3 linked regions of the Diceros bicornis minor genome follow. The protein of the gene in region 3 purifies or fractionates together with the protein of the main gene of each other region. This does not show direct contact. Links are inferred from orthologs where the notes say so. Each region holds a gene or a part of one and is shown on either strand. Other genes may lie near its edges.

What was found. Proteins that work in one complex are often made in the same cells at the same time.
Region 1: the proteins of VDAC2 (region 3) and PHB1 purify together in Homo sapiens (affinity purification with mass spectrometry; 4 studies listed by BioGRID, with this or other methods). This does not show direct contact. The link is inferred for Diceros bicornis minor from reciprocal best matches to the Homo sapiens genes VDAC2 and PHB1.
Region 2: the proteins of VDAC2 (region 3) and FAM162A fractionate together in Homo sapiens (co-fractionation; 3 studies listed by BioGRID and IntAct, with this or other methods). This does not show direct contact. The link is inferred for Diceros bicornis minor from reciprocal best matches to the Homo sapiens genes VDAC2 and FAM162A.

Annotation. Positions count from the first base shown.
Region 1 is NC_080757.1:36,732,803-36,740,817, reverse strand, and holds the start of PHB1 (prohibitin 1), read right to left. Parts: upstream 3,015-8,015; 5' UTR 2,976-3,014; intron 1,783-2,975; 5' UTR 1,756-1,782; coding exon 1,668-1,755; intron 292-1,667; coding exon 130-291; intron 1-129.
Region 2 is NC_080754.1:23,233,361-23,240,186, reverse strand, and holds the start of FAM162A (protein FAM162A), read right to left. Parts: upstream 3,015-6,826; 5' UTR 2,954-3,014; coding exon 2,920-2,953; intron 1-2,919. Other genes in the region: protein MIX23, read left to right, coding at 4,044-4,094. UniProt on the Homo sapiens protein: Proposed to be involved in regulation of apoptosis; the exact mechanism may differ between cell types/tissues.
Region 3 is NC_080745.1:31,598,992-31,606,298, forward strand, and holds the start of VDAC2 (voltage-dependent anion-selective channel protein 2), read right to left. Parts: upstream 3,003-7,307; 5' UTR 2,894-3,002; intron 2,688-2,893; 5' UTR 2,664-2,687; coding exon 2,633-2,663; intron 1,533-2,632; coding exon 1,464-1,532; intron 633-1,463; coding exon 583-632; intron 1-582. UniProt on the Homo sapiens protein: Non-selective voltage-gated ion channel that mediates the transport of anions and cations through the mitochondrion outer membrane and plasma membrane.

The DNA.
Region 1 (8,015 bases), on a different chromosome or scaffold from region 3:
ATAAATCCATATAAAACCCTCCAGGGAAAATATGCTAGGAAGTCTTATTATGGGAAATTCAATCTCTTCTGGAACCCACAGCACCCCTTCCACACTCTCTACTTTACCTGACCCCCAGGCAAGACTCACCTTTGCTACCAGTGATTACTGGCACGTTACGTGGTCGAGAGCGGCAGTCGAAGATAATTGGTTTCTGTACCCAAGGGATGAGAAAGTGAGTCCCTTCCCCAACCACAATGTCTTGCACGCCACGGAACCGGTCAAAGATGACAGCTCTGTGCCCAGCATCCACTAGGAATGAAGGGTAATGACGGGTCAGAAAAATCCCCTCACTCTTGAACCAAAAGGATTGAGCCTTTGAAAGATCCCTGGTGTTTCTTGTTCATTTACGTCTCCGCTCTCTTCCTCTGTCTTCCCACTCTTCTGGTCCCTAGAGGCTTCTAAATAGCTACAAAACTAAGCAATCACTTCCTATCCCACGTGTATTCCCAAGGACTTTGGTAATAGGATCTATTCCTCAGCATCCTTTCACCTCGAAACAACTGGTTGCTGGTTTTCTGATTAACTACCTCATCCCCAAACTCCCACCAATACATTTCCAGGAACCACCCCCCAAACTTCTTTCTAAAACGCACCAAGGTCTTCACTGTGACCACATTCCATCCTAGCTCCAATTTAACCCAGTGTTCCCAGAAGCAGCACCCTCGCTAGGGGAATCCCAGAACATGGAAGGTCCTACTCTTTCCTTCCAATAGCTTGGTTTCTTTAAGGTTTTAAGGGGTTATAGAGTTGTCTTGTTGGTTCAGCGAGAAATTAGTGATGGCAATTATGGTCTAGCTGTGCAGGGGTAGCCAAAAAGATCAGAGGATAAAACTGCGCCATATAAGCCAAGGCTTTTCTGATCGACTGTCTCCGCCCCTGCCTTTTGGGACTTTACAGTTGGTCCAAATATCTTCACTCTGGAAGTAATCCTCCTCCTGTCAGATAGTCACACACGAGGTGGGTCAATCCGCTTTCCGAAAAGAAAGTGAGGGAATATCAGAGTTAGAGGGGGTCTTAGAGACGAACCAGTTCAATGGCATTGCTTGACCAATCAAGAAGCCGACCCCTAGGGAGCGGGAAGTAACTCGCCTAAGGTCACACAGGAAAGTGGAAGAAAAGCCTGCGTAAACCCCTGCCACATTGTTAAAAGCTGGGCAACGCATCTCAAAGATACTTCTCTGGAACGACCCAACTGCAGCAGAGCAGAAGCTCCTGCCGAGGACAAGGTCACCAAAGGTCTAAAGCCCTTGCTGAGTTAGTCCACACACAGGCAGAAGGGAACAAAGGAGAGCTCCCTTTCGGCCAGGCTGTGCAATCGCGACACTCTGCTGCAACACTTGAGTGGCGTGGCATCACTTCAAATTAACAAGAGCAGCTGGAAACATCCAATGGCAACTGGGCTGGGAGGCTCCTTGTGAATAAAGCCTCTGAGAGAACCTACAGCTACAAGGACAGAGGTTCTGATGACAGTACAACCATACAGTGTGGGATGGCAGCAGGTGAGCCCTCTTGGTCACAAACACATTCACAGACAGCGGCTGCCATCAGGAGTGTCACATAGGCTGTGGAGACCAACAGACGTCTTCCGGCAAAAGGCAATGACCCACCGCCCCTCAGTGTCTTACCATTGTACAAGGCAGAGTTCACCACGCCTCCCGCCACAGCTAAGGCCAGGCCGAACTTGCCGATGGACTCAAACACTTTGGCAGCCATGTCTCCTTCTGCTGGACCCACTCACACCTGAGGGGGTAAAAACAAAACAAAGCAACTTGATCCCAAAATCCTCAGAGAAAGCCCTGTCTGAGGCACCATATTCACTTCTCAAGCTGGCTATTTATTCCCCACTGTGGAGCTCTAAACCATCCACTGAAGGACACCTAATAAATGACACTCCATAGCTTAGAAAAGGGTAGTATCAATTCCTTTGCTTTTTTGTTTTCCCATTTCTTCCTTCTTTTTCTACCACTTAAGAAAAGGGGTCTGGGCACTTGGTTCAATAATGGGAATGAGATATGGGCTTGATACCCAAGAAGAACTCAGCACCACAGGAAACCACCCTCCCATTTCCTGGACAAGCAGGCCCCAAGAGAGAGGCTGTGTGGTTGGTTCTTTGGAATTTTGGTTTGGAAAAATAACTCAAAGAATGTGCTACACGGATTCCAACAGCAAAAATAATAATAGCTAATCTTCATACCAGGCAGTCTCCTACCAGCAATTTACTTAATCCTCACACCAACCCCTATGAAGTAGACTATTACAGATGAAGAAACTGAGGCACACAGAGAAGTTACATGAGGAGCCCAAGATCACACAGCTATTAAGTGGCAGAACCAGGATTAGAACCTACAGGTCTAATTCTAGAAGGCACAGCTTAACTCCTCATCATACTGCTTCTCAACATCAGGTATTAAGAATGCCCTGTTATTATGGAAGCAGGAGCTGGATGACCTCCTGGGATCAAGATATCAGAAGAACCAATTGGGCAGAAAGGCTCTAAACAGCTGCACGGCGCGGCAGAGCCCTGGAAGAAGGGGAGGGTGGGGCTGAGAGGGGGTGCCGGGAGCACGGCTGACCCAACTAGAATCTACTACAGCACTTAACTTTTTAATGCCCCGCCCATCATCGTCCACGTCAGTTTCAACTCCTGAGACTACCTTGACCTCCCCCCATGCACTTAAAAATTCCTTTCTCGAGGCCAGGACGCCCAGTCCTGACCCCTCGGCCTTTCCACTTCTAATAGCTTCTGCATTATTCCTCACCCTGCCCCCATACACACCTCCCTTACTTTACGCCACCCCTGGCTCGTCCCGGGCTCACCCCCTTTCCCCTCCCACACGAGGCGGACAAACGCACGCAACCTGCCTGCACAAATTGCGAAGAGGAGTGCAGAGGAAGGTTGCAGAGACGCCCAGACTGGACCCCTCCATTCTCACCTGCTTCCACACTGACCTCCACATGAATTCCCCAGTCTCACATACTGCGCATGCGCTGGCAGCTCCTCCTCTTCCCCGCCCTCCTTCCAAGATCCGCACCTCTGATTGGTGGGGAAGAGCGTGGTGCATTCTGGGAAGGGTGGCTGGCCTCCTGACTCTGGTTCCCCGGCTCCTCACTAATGAACTACATTTCCCAAAGAGCCATGCAGCGGCTGGCCTGCGCTGAAAAGGCTTTTCTCTTTGGTGGTAAACGCCAAGAAGTGGCCGCAAAGCCTTTTGGGGCCTGTAGTTCCATGGGGATAAATGCACGTGCCTATCCTGCGCCGGTGCTAGAGCCTGAGGGAGATAGGCCGGGAGGGCCGTCTGAAAGAGTGACAGGGGCAAATTTACGGTTGATGAAACAGGTTGGATGGGCACTCTGGGGAAAGCTGTGAAATAACTGGTGGGCTGAGAGATCTTGAGGGAAGTCGAGGGACTGTCTGGTTTCCAAAGCCCTGTCTGGAAATGTCCTCAGTCGTGGGACATTGATTGCCAGAGCCAGAGAACCTTAGAAACCATCTGGGCCAGAAAACTGAAACCCAGAGAGAGGAAGGGATTCATTCAGGGTCATGCACTGATTTAACAAAAGTCTCGGCTTAGAGTCCGGGTCCCCTGGACACAATTTTTTTTAAAAAGTTTTATTTAGAAAAGTTGCAAGAATAGTACAAAAAACATATGTATCCTTTACTCGAATTCGTTTATTGCTAACAATTTGCTCCATTTGCTTTATCATTTGCTCCCTCCCTGTCCCCCCCTTCTTCTCTCTCTCTCTGTGTTTTCTAAGAATAAAGACATTCTCTTATATAACTTGAGTAAATTTAATCTACCCTCTGCATTCCAATTTTGTCCATTGACCCAATAATGAACTTTATAGTAGTCTCCACCCTCCCCCATACAGGATGCAGTCTAAGATTAGGTACTGTATTTATTTTTCATGTTTCTTTAGTCTCTTTTAATCCGAAAATTGTCCTCAGCCTTCGTTGTCTTTTATTACATTAAAACAAACAAGCAAAAAGAATGTTTCTCATTTTGGGTTTGTCTGATGTTTCCTCATGATTAGATTCAGGTTTTGCATTCTTAGCTGGGGCATTACCTAACTGATGTAGGGACACTTAATTTTAACAAAACCAGGCCCATTTCTGGATTCTAGTAGGATTGGATTCTTTCAATTTCTTTTTCCTGCATTTCTCTCCTCTCCTCTCTGTCCCCCTTCTTTGTCCCCATTTGGCACACTCAAATGATCAGAGATATCCATGGCAGCACTCTTCAGGTGGTATGAGTTTGCTCTAACCAACCACAATTTTTTCCTCTGACTACTAAAATGAAAGCTCTATGAGACTGAAAGTTTAGTCTGCTTTCTTTATTGTTCTATTCCCAGAACATACAACAGTGCTTGGCACACAGTGGGCACTCAATCAGTATTTGTTGAATGAATGAATAATGAAGGGCGTTGAAGTGGCTGGTTAGGCTGTGGTCAGGAAACACAGGACAGGCTGCTCCGGAATCCTGCAAGAATAGCCTTAGTCTTATCTGCTTCTATTCTAATCTCACTAACAAGAATGCTGAAGATATTAAAAGAAACCAATTTTTGCAGAATGTCTTATAATTCATTCAGAGGTTAAATGGCTTGCTCATGGTCGCTCGTCTGGTCAGAGCCAGCCTGGACTGGACCATAGGTCTTCTAAGTCTAAGCCCTATATTCTTGCCACCTCCCCACATTCTGTCCTGCAAAGTAAAGGCAATGGGAAGGCTCACGTGACATGAGGGCATCATGTGGACCTGGGCTAGTTACAGGTGAAGAGATGGGGAGGATGAAGGATAAGGACACTGAGGAGGGTATCTGGGAATAATTTAATTGTAGTGAGACAGAGATTAGGGACAGAGTCGCACTGCTGCATCAGCTTTAGGAGTGGGTCCAATTCGTTGCTACATAGAGCATTTTCCCCTTCAGCCCCTTTCCCCAGTCAGGTGTACAGATTGAGGACAAGAACAAATATATCTTGAACCCCGACTATGGACCAGTTGCTTTTTAAATACATAACCTTATTTAGCCCTATTTTCGTATCACCATTTTGGAAATGAAGAAATGGAGATTCAGAGAAGTCAAGTAACTTGCTTACAGTCACACAGCTGATAAATGGCAGATATGTCTGATACCCTAGCCTGTGCTTTTCCAAGCTGTGGGAATGGGTGATCCGTAAGTCATATCCAAACAAAGATTGATTCTACTTCCTTGTTCAGTGCCAACATGGGAGGGGTGATAATTAAAGCAAACAATTATAGAAGAACCTCTCTTTTTCTTCATTCATTTAACACACATATATTGGAGGCCTAGCATGTCCCAGACGTCGTGCTAGACAATGGGGATACAGTGACGAAGAAGATGGAGAAGGACTTTGTCCTCATGGAGTTTACATTCTGGGGTGAGGGGAGGGTGGTATACAGACAAAGACAAGTACACAAAGAAATAAATTATATGAAATTTTGACTCATTTCATGAAGGAAATAAGCAGACAATAGGAGGCTGTGTGACTCAGTCAGGAAGGTTTTGAGTGCAAGTAACAGAAAAGTGGACTCAATTGGCTTAAACAAAAAGGAAATACATTATTTCAAATAACAAGTCCCGTAGTAGGGCAGTTCTGGGGTTGGTGAATTTAGTGGCTCGCCAAGGCCATCAATGATGCAGTCTTTCCTTCTTTCAGCTCTGCCATCTTCAGGTGTTGACTTTTGTCCTCAGGCATTGTCCTCTCAAGGCCATAAGATGACTGCAGAAGGTCCAAACTTAATGTTCTCACAAAACAATAACCAAAGGCCAGAAGGCAGGAAAAGGGCAAGTCACATTTTTGGGTCCCCTTCTAAGAGTGAGGTAAAGTTTCCCGGAAGCACGCACCAGATATCCCTTTATGTTTTGTTGGGCAGAATTTTATCATCTGCCCATTTCTAGACCAGTCATTGGCAAAGGAATAAAATTGCCTTGTTGGAGCTCAACAAATCAAGAGCCATCGTCTGGGAGTGGGGAGGGGCCTGGCTTCTCCTAAACCACATGACTGCCTAATACCTTAACAAGTCAACATTGGGGTTCTCGTTAGCCAGGAACAGGATGGAAGGGAGAGTGGGTGTTGGAATTGCAACCAAAAGTGTCTGTCACAAGGGGTCTAGTTTGGACAAGCTGGTCAAGGAGGTCTGTATGAGGAGATGACATTTAAGGCAAGATCTAAAACAGTAAGATGTGAATAAAGTTGGGGGGGTGGAAAGAGAGCATTTAAGCAGAGGGAATACCATGTGCATGTGAACCACATGGCAAGGCATGACTGATAGATGTGGCTGGTAAAGAGACAAGGAACTCTTTTTAGATTCAGACAGTTTATTACTTAACATACACGCCAAAAGGAAGAGTAGCCAAAGGTGCGAGCTCCTAGTGGCCCTCATGTAGGGCAACACTGAAACAAATGGGGCCAGATGACTGCAACACAGCTGTTAGGATACTCTGTTGCTGAGCAGCTAATGCCCTGCTGCAGCTAAGTAGTATTATACTTTGCAACTGTATCCTCGGAGGAGTGAGACAGAAAGCTTCAGACCTCATCACAACCTGGAGGCTATGAGAAACTGCCTCATGACAACTTTCCAGGTAGATAGGGAAGTGAGTGAGAAATGGCCTTGTAGAAGCTCCTCACAAGCCTCCCTTGTGTTCCAGGAGGATCACAAGGCATTCTGCCAAGACTTAGATTCAGCTGAGTTTCCAGCCTTTGCCTATGTGGACTATGTGGAGACATACAAGGTTGCCAGGGCGCCATGGTGGAGTCATCTCCCTACAGTGCAAAGACCTTGAGGCAGGTCAGAGCATGGGCCATTGACAGAACCGAGTGAAGACGAAGATGAAGATGAATGTGTCCCAAACCATAATGAGTGAATGGGAGAGTTACACAAGATGACAAAGGTGAAATAAGCAAGCACCAGATGTTGTAGGCTTTGCCAAAAAGTCCTTGAAAGTTTCTCAGCAGAAGAGTGAATTATTCCTCTGTGGGGAAAACAACCAGCCCAAAAGAAAAATCTACAGATCCTAACAGTTGGAAATCCTCAATGAAAGAGCCCAGGCAGGTCACCCTAGTGCAACAGTTCTTAAACTTTTTAATCTTAGGATCCCTTTATATTCTTAAAAGTTATTAAGTACCCCAAAGAGCTTTTAAAATATGGATTATATGGGGCCGGCCCTGTGGCTTAGCGGTTAAGTGCATGCGCTCCGCTACTGGTGGCCCGGGTTTGGATCCCGGGCGCGCACCGACACACCACTTCTCTGGCCATGCTGAGGCGGCGTCCCGCATACAGCAACTAGAAGGATGTGCAACTATGACATACAACTATCTACTGGGGCTTTGGGGGAGAAAAGGAGGAGGATTGGCAATAGATGTTAGCTCAGAGCCAGTCTTCCTCAGCAAAAAGAGGAGGATTGGCATGGATGTTAGCTCAGGGCTGATCTTCCTCACAAAAAATAAAATAAAATAAGAAAATAAAATTTGGATTATATATATTCAAAATGAAAATGAGAAATTTTAGAAATATTTACTTACTCATTTAAAAATAACAATGAACTCATTGTGTTAACATATTTTTATGAAAAATAACTAAAGTTTCCCAAACAAAATATTTAGTGAGAAGAGTGGCATTGTTTTACATTTTTGCAAATCTCGAGTTCTTCATTGATTCTGTTGTGCTATCACAGGTCATGTAGCCTCTGGAAAACTCTACTGTACACTCTAGAGAATGAGAGTAAAAAAGGTAAATAATGGTTTAGTGTTATCATGAAAATAATTTTGACTTCAGGTACCCCCCGAAAGGACCCTTCAAGGACCCCGAGGTTACCTGGACCACACCTAGAGAGCCATTACCTTAGAGTGAAACCCATGCTGGACAAGCACTCATGTACACGAAGCTTCCGACTGGCTTTTCAGTGCTTGTATTAGTTGGGATGTTAGTTAGAGTCTAAGTTGCTGTACCAAAGAG
Region 2 (6,826 bases), on a different chromosome or scaffold from region 3:
TTTTAAAATCTGCCGATAAAGGAGTTTAGGGCAGTACAACGTTTCTGAAGGTGTTAAGAAACACTCTTGTGGGCCCCCCCTGCCCCGTGGTGTAGTGGTTAAGTGCTCCTGCTCCGCCGCTGGCGGCCGGGGTTCTGATCCCGGGCGCGCAGGACACAGCGCTTATCAGGCCATGCTGTGGTGGCATCCCATATAAAAAGTGGAGGAAGATGGGCACGGATGTTAGCCCAGGGCCAGTCTTCCTCAGCAAAAACAGGAGGATTGGCATGGATGTTAGCTCAGGGCTGATCTTCCTCACAAAAAAAAGAAAAAAGAAACATTCTTGTAAGGCCACTTCATTCCTCTGACCTAATAATTATTCTGTACAAAGTAATAATTGCTATTAAAAATAATTACTTTCCAATATAATAAAATATTAAAAATAGTTATCAAAAAAAATATCTATTGCCTGTCTACTATGAGTTGGACACTGATAAGTGCTGAAGATTTAGTAAAAACAAAAGAGACCCAGTCTTAACCCTCCTGGAACCCACAGTAGTGTGGGTGAGTAGCCATTTAGTTTCAGATCTTATCACCAATGCTTTTTAACTGAGAGAGCACAGATTGCATCTGACTAACGGATGCAAGCTACAGGATGCAAGCTACGGACCCTCACTTCCCCAAACAGGTATATAATCATAAAAATTTGAATATAATTTCAGAGGTTCACAGGACCTCTCATCTGAGAAGAGGCCTAAGAACCACAAGTAAGAACCCTGACCTATATCTACAGCTATATCTATGAAACGATAAACAAATTCAAGCTCATAAAAGCCTATATTCTGTTCCCTAAGGGAGTACAGCAAAGATTTCCAAGAGAAACAATTAAAAATAAAGGTCCATCATTTAAAAGATTAAGCTTTGGCTATTTAAAATTTCACTCACCCAGAGCATCTTATCCCAAATGATATTCTGGATAAGCGAAGTGTGCCTAGATTATGTTTCTATTTGATCTACCATTCCTTTGGCTAAGGTTGCCTGTTCAGTCTTCTTACTTGAAAATTCATTTGCACATGAATGTGTGCTTCCATTTCACACGTAGATCTGCATTTCATGACTCTTCCATTGCACAGCAGAGACTCAATTAGCATGACAAAAACGTATTCACACCTATCCTGAATAAGCATCTTGAACAAAGCAAAAGCACAAATTCCTGGATTAGAGCACTGACTCATCTCCTGCACTAACATTTTATGGCGAAGTAATCTTTGACAAGTCATTTAACCCTCTGACCCATGTTTATTCTTTTGTAAAACAGAAAGGGGAGGCTAAGACTTACCTAAGAGGGCTACTATGAATAATCAATCAAGTAAAATAATGTATGTCAAAGTATTTAGCTATAAAATGGGCAAAAGTGGGTGAAAGACTGAGCAAGATCGCTTTGAGTTCTTCACAAAACATCAGACATTCAGAGTAGACTCTGGAAAGAGTTGCTCTTATAACATCCTCAATGGGTCTATCTGGGGTAAAATAAATCGTTCTTAAATTGCTCAAGGAATTTTGTTGATTGAGTGCCCAATAGTGAAGTTCTTAAAGATCAAAAGTCTGCAGAGAGGCTGTGGAATCTTTATAACGAATAAATATATTCTCAAGGCAAGAAGATGAAATACTTACACATAGTCTTAGTCCCTATGTAGTCAAACCCCTTTCACTCAGTCTGTTTCAACTTTTTTACAGGGCAGTGATTCTTTCACTTACCTTGCTGAAAAGTTAACAGGAGGTATACAAAAGATTTTAGGCAAATTAGTTCAACAAAGCTGAACAAATCAATAAAATCAACCTCTTTCAGTGGAAGGGAGTGTTTGTTTTAAAGGAAGTAAACAATATTCTCCAATTTGAGACATGTTTTCCAGTCCACCCTCCACTGGAACACAAAGTAAGCCATGTAAAGGATAACTTTTTTTTTTTACATTACTTCATTTATATTTACAATGTACATTTACATTATTTCAATAGCCAAGTCTGGAGCAATTCTTCCTTTCAAATTTGAATTAAACAACTTTTTAGTAATTTGGTACCAAGGAATAAAAGATCAATCATTACACCTTATCAAAGCTCATAAAGGCGACCAAAAGAGTGATTTGCCCTGGTGCCTAGAAAAGAGCCAAGAGGCAAATATTCTGATTTCTCAGTCCCTACTAAACAAAGCTCTGCTGGTTCCCAAAAAAGGTGAATTAAGCTCTGACTCCAAATACGAATTACACAAATATCTACTAGGAAATCAAACTGCAGATCCTGTATTTACATAACACTTTTCTCCAAGAAATTCGAAGTACTCAATTGTAAAATTGTTTAAAAGAAATGCATACCCCATGTTAAGAAAACAATTACTACTCTTCTGTGAGACCTCAAATCTTTGCCTAATCAAACACTAAATGGGTAGGAAACCCTAGACTTGAGGTTTTCTCTGAGAGCAAGGATAAACTCTTGAGATGGTGGGGAGTGGGGGGTGAGGGAGCCAGACTTAAGACTCAAATGGAGTAACGGACGGGAGAGGTTAGAGTGGAAAGCTGCATGAAAAAGGCAATGGGTGAGTTCTAGGGATGGCAGGTGCATTAAGAACTGAGCTCAGGGGAGGCTGGGGATGAGCGGGGCGGAGGAGAGGGATCGGGGAGCAAGGGCTCGTTAAGTCAGTGGGAGCTGCGTGGATGCACAGCCAGGTGCGAGGGTCACTCGGGCCAGGCCCCAGTGTCTGCTCAGCAGTTCCTCGCTCAGCTCTTGCTGTCTCCCATTATTACTACCACGGGGTAGGATTCCGAGCAACCTGACGGGAGTGCGTGATGGAACTGAGCGACTCCCAGGCCTGGGGACGCTGCAGGATTCCTCCACCCTACCGCCGACCTGGCTTCCAGCCCTCCCCTACTCCGGCCCGCGTCTCACCCGCCGCCAGCCGCAGGCCGCGAAGGCTCCCCATGGCCGCCTACTCCGCCGACCAGCACAGCACCTCAGCGGCAGCGGCGGCGCCCGTGCGCTCAATGTCATCGAGCACCGCTAGGGAAGGACGCCAGCGGCGCTGGGGGGCGGGGCGTGTGGGACGTGAGGGCGGAGCGAGGAGGTCGAGAGTATCGCGGGGGGCGTGCGGGCGGGTCGTACGGGCGGGGCCTGCGTGCTGCGCGGAGCGTGTGGGACGTGCGTGGCGAGCCGAGTGTGCGGGCGGCGCGCCGCGTCCTGGAGGCGTCCTTAAGGATTCTTTGGTGGAGTCTGGGCATGTTGGGTGTTTGCAATATCGTTCTCTGCGTCCAAAGAAGTACCCGTTTAAAATAGAAGAAAAGTAATGTGCTCAATGTAGAACTTTTGTGAACTGTAGACCCCGAAGTCACACTGCCTACATAAACCAGTTATTTCAATACACTTTTGCTAGTATTTTCAGTGACTACTTGCCTTTATCAAAAACACGTAATTGGGCTCCTAGTGACCAGTGGCCCCCATCTCTTATTGGATTTGGGAGTATCAAGCTACTTGAGAAATTCACATGTATGCTTCCTATTTTGTTCGCTATTTGCCTATTTTTTAAATAAAACTAAACATTTTAATATTTCCACACCTAAACAACTTATTCAACCCTTACCCCACTTTGCCAGAAATGTCTTTTTATATTTCTTAGTGGTCCCAAATTCTTAACGAACAAACGCCCCTCTGCTCTAGGGACGAGAGGTAAAAATCTACTGTAGATTTCCTCCTGGAACGACCTGGTTGGTGCAACCACAAAATTGTTTCCCTTTTTGTAAGAAAATGGGATTGGAGTAGAAAGATCCCTTCCAATTCTGACATTCTTCGATCCATGCACTTGGGCCAGTTGCAGGAGAATACGTTAAAGGGATAAGAGTAAAAAGAGGGATAGCAGGGATACAGGCTTCGACGCGGATGAGGATCACGGAAAAGACAAACCCTGTGCTTAGCTTTCGCGCGGATTCCCTTGGGAATTATTTTTTTGTCAGGCGGCGTCATGGACACCTTTGCTCCGCGGTGATTGGCTTGCGGCGGGGGCCTCGCGTTTGTCCAATATGGCGGCGCCCAGTGGCGGTGTGAATTGTGAGGAGTTCGCCGAGTTCCAGGTGATGCGGTTTTCCTCATGTTACAGGCATATCCCTGCTTTTGTCCCCGGACCCTGTTCTTGCTTTGGCCTGGGAGGGAGTGCAGACCAGTTGTTGGAGAAGCGGGCAATTCAAGGCTCCTTTTTCGAGCCATTGGAGGTCATGGGGGCGCGGGCTTGGCCTTAAGGAGCTAGGGTGCTCGGTGGGGGTCATGGTTTTTCCTGCGCCGCCCAGGCCGTCAGCAACTGCACCGGGAAACTCTGGGTGGTTCCGCGGTGGAAAGCCGAAGTCGGGCCCGGTGGGTAGGGATTGTAACAACCTTTTAGCCATCCGCAAACTCAGCTCCTAGCCTCAGCCATTCCCGTCCTTTAAGTTGAGCATTTATAGGAGAGAAGAAAGTGAAGGAGAGCTTATCTATTTGATGAAACAAACCAAAAAACTTGGTACAGGTTTTACTATTTTGATGGGGCAGAACGTTTGGAGTCTTGGGGGGTCGATTAATTCTAGTACCTGACATGGTGCTACTGCCTTCCTAGCCATTCGAGAAAAGGTAACATTTAAGAAAAAGGCTGTATCTTTTATGTATTCAATCACCAGAGGCATAGGGCTACTTATTAAGCCTAGGAATTAAATAACAGGGGTCCGAATTTTGACCAAGTTGCTGTGAAAGGTATCTGTTCCAATGTAGGCATAAATGTGCTGCTGCGTAAAGAGTTAAAAAATCATGACCTTACAAATGTTATTTTAGCTAAAGACATTGAAAAATTATTTCACATAACATTGACCTCTCTGTAGTAAGCTTTCTGCTTTGAGCCGTTTTGTAGGGAGTGATATTCTTGAAGATAACCTCAACAAACTGAATTATTTGACAAACATCATTTGGCCAAAGAAGTTTTTGTTCGGTCTTTCTATCATCGTTTCCAACCCTCTTCACCACTTCACCTGCTCCTCAGATGATAGATAGCACAACAGCAGCCGACTTCAAATGTGATCAAAGTGCCAACAAATACAAATAGTTGTAAAAATCTTAAGATAGAAAAAAGGCTTGGATTCTAAAGTATATGGAATATTTAAGATTAACTGGCCCATTTGTGGCCTTGGTCTTGTCACATTAGTACTATGATTTAACTTGTGTTAATGAGCTCAGATAATTGAGCAATGATAGCCTTAAGGTTAATCAGAAAGAGCCCTGGTTAGGGAGTTATATGTTCTGGGTTCTAGTACTCCTTCTGCCATTAACAGCTTTGAGAGCTAATCACTTAACCCCTTCAGGAATTAACTTTTGAATCTGTTAAGTAACATTTAAAACTGCTTCCATCTCTGTAATTATTTGAACCTCTAAAACCAAATTGCGAAAGATCTGTTTTAGCTGTTGAAACATCCATCAGTGCTTAAAGAACACTTAGATTTTTCTTTTGGAGGGTCCAATAAGATGTAAGTGGGGCAAAAGCTAGACTGTCTTGCAGAACCGTTCCATTCACAGAGATAATGTAAATAAAAAGATCATAAAATGAGTCTTATTAATGAAACCTGGGGGAAGTTTTTAGATAGTTTCTCTAGGACTTTTCCAAATGTGTGGTTTATAATGGCAAATATCCTGGGTTAAAAGTCAGAAGATCTGGTTTTCCAGAACTGGCCTTGGCATATCATTTAACCTCATTGCAAATGAGCATGAGAATATTTGCCCCTCTGCCTCAGAAGCACATAAGAACTTAAGCGAAGGCGCTGTAAACATTTAGGTTTAGATGAATTTGATAAAATTATAAACTGTGATTAATTGGCATACTCACAAATAATTAATCAATGTTTATATTTTTTTAAGGCTATGAAACCATTACATTTTGTTTATAAGTACCCTAAATGTGAAAAGCACTGCAGTGAATACTGTGGAAGAGAAACGAAAGCATGTATTTTTTATTTTAAAGATTTAGGTACATTTTTCAGAATTTTATTGTGAAAATGTTCAAAACTACAGAAAAGTTGAAAGGATTTTACAATGAACACTCGTATCCACCATCTAGATTCTACAATCAGTGATTTGCTATATCATCATGTCTCAGTGAATTCATAGGATAGGAAAGGGTCTAAGAAATGCATCATTAGGCGATTTCGTCATTGTGCGAACATCACAGAGTGTACTTACACAAACCTGGGTGGTATAGCGTACTACACACCTATATGGTACTAATCTTATGGGACCACCGTTGTATGTGTGGTCTGTCGTTGACTGAAATGTCCTTATGCAGCCCATGACTATTTATCACATACCCGTCTCCTGATCTAGCCACCTTTTTACTTATTTTTTTGATGCATTTCAAAGTAAGTCACAAACATCCATATACTTCATCCCTAAATATGTCATATTTGACATATCATTAACTAGAGTTCAATATTTATTTACTTTCTTTCTATAAAATTTGCATTCAGTGAAATGCGCAAATCTGAAGCTCAGTGAGTTTTGACATTTACGTACTCCTGTAGTGCAAACCTCCATCAACATAGAGAATAACACCATCACTTCCAAAAGCTTCCTCATGCCTCTTCCCAGTTAATCCTTGCCCATATATCCGTCCTCTTTGGCCCCTCTTGCAACTATTGTTCTGATTTTTTTCCGTTTAGATGCATGTTTTAGTTTTAAGAGTTTTTAAAGTGTTTTAAAATTTTTGCAATTCTTATTTTTCCATTATAAAAGTTGGATTTAGCATGCCAGAGAAAATGCCCTATGTCCAAAATAAAATAAAAAAGAAAAGAAT
Region 3 (7,307 bases):
TGAGTAAACAGAGTCCCACATGGCCAGTGTCTTTCCCGAATTCCTTGTGCATACATAGTAAACCACAAGAAAATCAGAAATCATATCCAGGGCCAGCCCCGTGGCTTAGCGGTTAAGTGCGCGCGCTCCGCTACTGGCGGCCCGGGTTCGGGTCCCGGACGCGCAGCAACGCACTGCTTCTCCGGCCATGCTGAGGCCGCGTCCCACATACAGCAACTAGAAGGATGTGCAACTATGACATACAACTATCTACTGGGGCTTTGGGGAAAAAAAAGGAGGAGGATTGGCAATAGATGTTAGCTCAGAGCCGGTGTTCCTCAGCAAAAAGAGGAGGATTACCATGGATGTTAGCTCAGGGCTGATCTTCCTCACAAAAAAAAAAAAAGAAAGAAAGAAAGAAAGAAAAAAAGAAATCATATCCAAAGCCAAAATAAATCAAGTTACATGCAAATCCCTTAAAACAAAATTAACTTCTGCCTCTTCTTTAAGATAAAATGGGTAGACATCTTTCAGTTATGACTATTTTATAGGTTGAATACTACATAAAGGCTCATCAGAACTTATGAAATATCTAACACTCACCACGCCACTGCATGACTTTGTTTTCACATCCAGCTTCACCAACCCAAAACCTTAAAGAAGAGAGCAAAAGATAACAAAATGATTCTTTCACATGAAAGATGCAAACCAAGAGCTGACTACACACATAAAAAAGTAGTCAGCTCTTGGTTGAGCTGACTCAAAAAAGATTTCACATATTCAGAAGGGGATAAAAATGTATGTTGATACACAGTATTAAAATGAAAAAATTTTAAATTATTCTATGCAAACTGACAGGTAAAGGACAGAACCACTCTACGCAGCTTTGCATAGTGTTTTGGTGTATATATGGCACCAAAAAAAAAATGCTTTCAAACCATTTTAAAACCTAAATACCAGATCAGAGAATCAATTCAACTTAAATCTCAGAATAGCCAATAGTTTATTATAATACAAACATTTAGAACATTTATCCCAAAGGGATATCTCTCTTTGGGATTAAAAAATCTAAATAATTGGGGAAATAATCTAAAGGGCGGGAGTGGAAAAAAATCTTCAAGACAACCCAAATTCAATGACAAAGCACATAACCCATTAGGAGTCACCACCACAAAAGCAAAATACAGTAATATATCCTAATTCTAGTCAACCACGGCATAAGCTATAACTGAAGGAAATGAAAACACAGTTGTTTTTTTTCCTAAAGATAAAATCCTTAAACTAGAGTTTGAAAAAATTGGAGGAAACTGGGGTAGAAGGGGATGTGGATTGTTACAAAACTATTTTAACAGAAATTTTATCTAAAATTTATCTAAAAGAAGAATACAATAAAATATTTACAATTTTAATTACTAATTTAATTTCCCTAAGAAATCCAAACACATTTTCACTTCTGATCTAAAATTTTTTTAAAAAGTTCTTACCAAATCCTTTGTTGAAAATATCTCTGGCAGCTTTGCCAAGGTCAGCGTATGAGGGAGGAACACACATTGCTGGTGGGAAGAAACATTCCAGTGTTAATGTTGCAGTTCTCCCACTTTCTGTCCAAGAACTAGATTATGACCCACTGCTATCTTTAAATTCAAGCAGTCTAACCTGTTGAAGATGTGTTTTTGACACCACCAGGAGCTACAATAAAACTGTATTCTAATGATCCACGAAGGACATATCACCAACAAAGGCTTATTTCTAAAATGGATAACCACAGTAAGTGGCTATACGAACTCGGGAAATTCTCTACAAAATAGAAAAACAGACTTCCTATTCCTAACTATACACAGTGCCTACAGCCTCAACGCCTAGGACTGGACTAGTACAAAGATGCAAACATATACACACATATATATCTATACATACAGATATATCCGCCAAAATTCACTGGAACGGGCTGATTTACCCAAACGAGATGAAATCAAAACCTAACACAAGGCCCTCTCCCCCAATATATCCCTTAGTATCCTCACTGAGGTCAAAACCAACATTCTGGAGTGGGAAGAGAAAGCTAATTTACACTATGGGAATTTAAATATTGAAACTTAGGGAAAAAAGGGCCATCTATGTTTCACTCAAGTGTCTACATCAACTAACTATCCAACGGCACTTTAAACATACTAATATGACACTCAAGTCCTCGGCCAATGCTGTGTGGCTTAAGGGCAAGCAATCTGATCTACTTACACTAGCTCATTCATTCTACAAAGCACGTCCACGCCCTTAGGAGCACATGTAATGACCTTGCGCTCTCTCAGAGGAGTTACTACTTCCTCTAGAAAAGTGACTGATCCAATCCTCCAAAGGCTGAATCCAACAAATAACTTTCTGCTTTTGAGTTGGTCAAAGACACGTCCAAAAACTGAAAGTGAATGCAGCCACAGACCAACTCCCCTGGCCTAGGCCTCTTATCCGAAATCCAGCAGCCCAGCCCCTCCTCCGCAGAGACGGGGGGAGTCAGGACCGAGGAGTGGCTACCGAAAGGGGCGAATGTCCAAGTCCTTGGAGAGATGGGGGGAAAGAAGCTGCGGTTTTCTGGTCCACAGGCTTCGACTCCCCGGACACCGCCACCCCAGCCCGCAGAGATCCCTTCTCCACTTACGCCGCGGGCAGCTCTGTCCGTAGGTCGTCATGGCGAGGCCGCGGGAAGAAGTGATCTGCCGGAGAGAAAATAAGTGCGGTCAGCGGGGGTGAGGGGCGGGTCAAGAGGCCAGAAAGGGGTCTCAAACAGAGAAAGGCGAGGGGCCGCGGGGCAGCGCGGCCATCTTAGGGAGCCAGGGCCGACCCCGAGTCCGGCTCAAGCCTCCTGCTTAGCCGCCGAGGCCTAGACTCCCAGGTCGGAGTGAGGCGGGCGCGGCGGTACCTGCTGGTCTCCTGAGAAGAACCGCCGCCGCCGCTCCGTTCGCAGCTAAGACCGCTCGGCTCGCTCGGGGTCGCGCTGCAGCTGCCGCGGCTGGAGGGCGAAGTGAAGGAGACACCGTTCCGCCCGCCGCAACCCTATCCTCCCCCCGCCAGGACCCCGCCGCTGCCCCCGGGGCTGTCCGCCGCGCCTGTCTCCGCAGCGCCACCCGCTGCCCACTCCAACCCGCTCCGGAACGGCCTCGTGGGCCGAGAGCACCTCCGCCCCCGGAGTGGACCGCCTCCGTCCGTCGGCGGGGGCCGGAAAGGCAGAAGCTGCTGGACCTCGGGTCAGGCAACGATGAGGGCAGCCCCAGAGGCGAGGGGGCGGGGAACGGCAGAGGCAACGCGGCGGGGATGGCACGGGCGGGGGATGGGGCGGAGGCCCCGCGCGCGCTCGTCACGGGCGGGCGGGGCGTCAGGCGCGTGCCCGCGCGGAGCCCTGCGAGGCTGGGCGTGGCTGCGCACCCCGCAAGTCACGTACATCTCTCGACTATGTTTCTCGACTGTGGTTCTCTGAAGCTGCCGAGGCCGTCTGCCATATAGATCGTCTGGAAGGAAGTAGCTGAGCCTTACTCCCGTTTACCCTAGGCAAGTGCGACGTGCGCTTCTGAAAGACCGTCTCTCTGTCCAGGCCCAGGGAGAAACGAGTGGGGCACAGGGTCACCACTTCCAGTCCCTCGCGCCCTCCCTTCCTTCGTCTGTTTCCCGCGGCGGTGTAATCGCCATGCTGAGCGGGACTCCGCCTGAGAGGCTCTGTTGGCCTCGGCATGCCGGTCCCTGAACAAACGTGAGCACATCTCAAGGTGCCCCGCCCCTCCCATCCCACCCTCCGTCCGTGCTTAGGGTTCCTCTTCTGCCGCCTTCTGCCCGCTTAGGGATGGAACTGCTTTGCACATGCACAGAACCCACGCTGTCTTGGTGAGTCAAGCCTGCTAGAAAATTTAGGAATCATGCTGACCAGGCATTAGAATGCTGCACTCAAGTTCCTGGGTGTACAGGAAGAGGGAGCCAAGGGAACAGAAAAAAAGCCTAACGAGCTAGAAATGGGGTCACTCGAGGCTCCGGAATCAATCGCCCATCTTAGCAATTTATCCCCTTTGTACCCCAGTTTCCTTATCTATAAAATGACAGGTTTAAATCAAATGAAGTGGTCTTTAATAGCCATCAGCCACAGACTATGAGCAAAGACTTTTTCCCCCTGATTTCCTCTGGCTCTGAAAGCCACCTCTGGTCAAATGCTGCCAAGGTTCCACCCTTCTCCTGTACCAGGAAAAGCATAGCTAGATAGGCTTCCACAATCCAAAACCGGATTAAAGCTGCAGCCTGATAGATATCCCTCCCATGAGCAAACCCAGCCAGCAATCTTGCCTGGTCATGGTTGGGATTACTCATGTAAAGGGTTAGAAGAAGAGAGGAGTCTTTGCTCCTAACAGTTCAGGCACCAAAAGCACTGATTAATTCTTTCATTCAAGCTCAGACAGGTTGGTCTGAAATCAGCTTTGCTCCACTGGGAGCTGGTCTGCTCTGGCTCTGTTTGATGCTGTTGTGAGGCTAATAGCAGAGACTGACTTCCCATTCCAACTGCAGCATAACACACCACCTCCCAGAAGAACCTAGTCTCTGCTCAGTCACTTCCATTACCTGCAGTAAGGCTTATTCACATTGTGAACTATCTGTAGCATTTTTAACCTCCAGAAAATTTCACTTTGTACAGAACACTGATCTGAGGCTTCACCCTCTACAAACCCAAGGAATGTACACAATACCTAATAACCAGGAGAAGAAACACGGCAATTTACTTCAAAGTTGGATTCAGTAAATGTATCTGAGTGCTTACCTCCAAAGCCCTTTAGACCAAAGCAGCATTAGTAGCAGCCACCACTTACAGAGCAACTACCTTGTGTCACCCACAGGGAAAGCAAAGTCCATTCAGACGCAGCTCCTGCTCTCAAGCACTTAAAGTCATGTGTATATAGGTGTCAAGAACTGTGAAGGGTCTAAGATTTTACCCTACTTACAAGCTAGCAAGTTAGCTTGCCATAGGTTCATAAGTTTATAGATGCTGGCTGAAGACATGAGACTCGAAGGTCAGAGACAAAAGACTTCGTTACTTGTGGCACAGCAGGCAGCATAAGCTTAATGGTGGAATCAGTTCCACTTGCCTTCTACGTCCCACAGGAGTGATGCAGAGCACCTAGGTAGAAGCTGTGCACACCATGTATTTATGTCACAGTTCAGGAATCCTGACCTTAGGAAACCCCCTGCTTATAAGGAGCTGCTAAAAAACCTGCCCAACCTTTGCCCCAGAGGGAGACATTACAGTGTACTTCTCAGGAAATTAAATCTTGCCTCTGCCCTAGAAGGAGACACTACCTCTATTTCCAAAGGCTGTTTGCTATGCAAACATCCTTGTAAAAGTATATTGCCACAGAGGACTGTGGGCACAGTCAGGCTGAGGAGACGCTTGCACTAAAGTTTCAAAGTAGGACTTATCAAAATTAAAAAGCCCTAAGGTCAAAGATGGAAACGCAAAATTCTAGAAAGAGGTATGTGCAAAGCCATATGGGGGCTTGAAGTGACAAGAATCATTTGGAAACCACAAGTAAGTAAAGCTGGAAAAACCTGTAGAAAAAGTTGAGAGATTAGTGTAAAGATGTTGGCTGGAGCTAAATACTGAAGGTCCTAAAAACAGTGAATGAGGAGGAGTCTAGGGTGGCTGGGAGCAACATTTCTGGCTTGAGCAACTGGGAGGACAAAGGTTCTACTCACTGTCGGAAGGGCTACAGGAAGAGGGACAGGTGTGAGAGTAAAGAGGATGATTCAATTTCGGATAAGTATGAGGAGCCAGGGGCCACATCTAAATGGAGTTGTCCAGTAGGCAATTATGAAGCCTAGGAGAAAGGTCTGGGTAAGAGGCTAAAAGAAAACTCAGGAGGGAGTGTTTTCCTGGAAGCCAAAGGGGAGAGCAGTGGGGAGGAAGGAGCACTCAACAGTGTCACATCCTGAGGAGCACTCAAGTGAGGTAAAGACAGAGTATTAGTTACTATTACTGTGTAACAAATTACCCCAAAACTTAGTAGCTTAAAACAACAAACATTTTATTATCTGGAAGCTTCTGTGGGTCAGAAATTAGGGAATGGCTTAGTTGGGTGGTTCTGGCTCAGGGCCTCTCATGAGGTTGCAGTCAAGATGTTGGCTGGGGCTACAGTCTTTTAAAGGCTTGACTGTGCTGAAGGATCCACCTCCAAGATGGCTCCCTCATGTGGCTATTGGGAAGAGGCCTCAGGTCCTCATCATGTGGATCTCTCCATAGGGCTGCTTGAGTGTCCTCATGACACGGCAGCTGCTTCTCCCAGAGCAAGTGATTCGAGAGAGAGAGAGAGAGAGAGAGAGACTGAAGGCGCAATGTCTTATATGATCCAGCCTCAGGAATCACACTGTCATTTCTGCCTTATTCTCTTTGTTAGAAGTCAGTTACTAAGACTAGTCCACACTCAAGGGAAGAGCAATTAGGCTCCACCTTTTGAAAGGAGTGTCAAAGGATTTGTGGACATATTTTAAATCACCACAGTCGATCCTCTGGTCACATTATTTCTATTTCTCCTAAACAGAAAATACACTGATTCCCTCCCAAGACTTCCCCAAAACCTCCAGCCTTTATAGCATCAGCAAGAGGCCTCTCAGGTGTAGTTCCTTAAGTGCAGCAACTCCAGTACAGTTCCTCTTGATTTGAAGACCTATGAAGTAAAGAGAGAAGCTGTCTGCCCCCTACACACACATCTAACACACACAGAGTGGGATAGGCACAGGATAACTGCTAAAGACACCCCTGGTCAAAAAGAGGGAAACAGGAGATACACAGGAGTCCACAACAGTTCTGAAATCCAGCCAGACAAATTTTGAAGATGCCTTTATTAGGACTCAGTCCTACTCCTGTCTGTGCCAGATGAGGTCACATGGGGAGAGCCAGCTCTAGATACACATTCCTTCTCTTCCTGCCCCAGGCTCTGTCCTTCAGTGTGAGGAATACACCCCAGCCCACACATCCAAGCTCCATCCCGCCTCACATACATATGCTCCTTGACTATCCCATGGGCTTAGGGGTGTGTCACTGGCAGTTCAATCCATGCTCAGAAGAAAGGGCTCTGGAGAAGTCCATGCAGGCCCCAGAATGAGGCTCAGGACTGTTTCAACTGGGAAGACTGAGATCTTCTGTATCCAGAGTTTGGTCCAGATAAGGAAAGGGTGGGCATGGGCTTTGGTGGGCATGTTCCCTTGGCCCTGCAGACTCCTCACCCCATAGGAAAAGGCACAATGTGAGAAGGGTTAGAGTGAGTCACTCTAAAGTATGAGGCCCAGGGTGGGGGCCCCTCTTG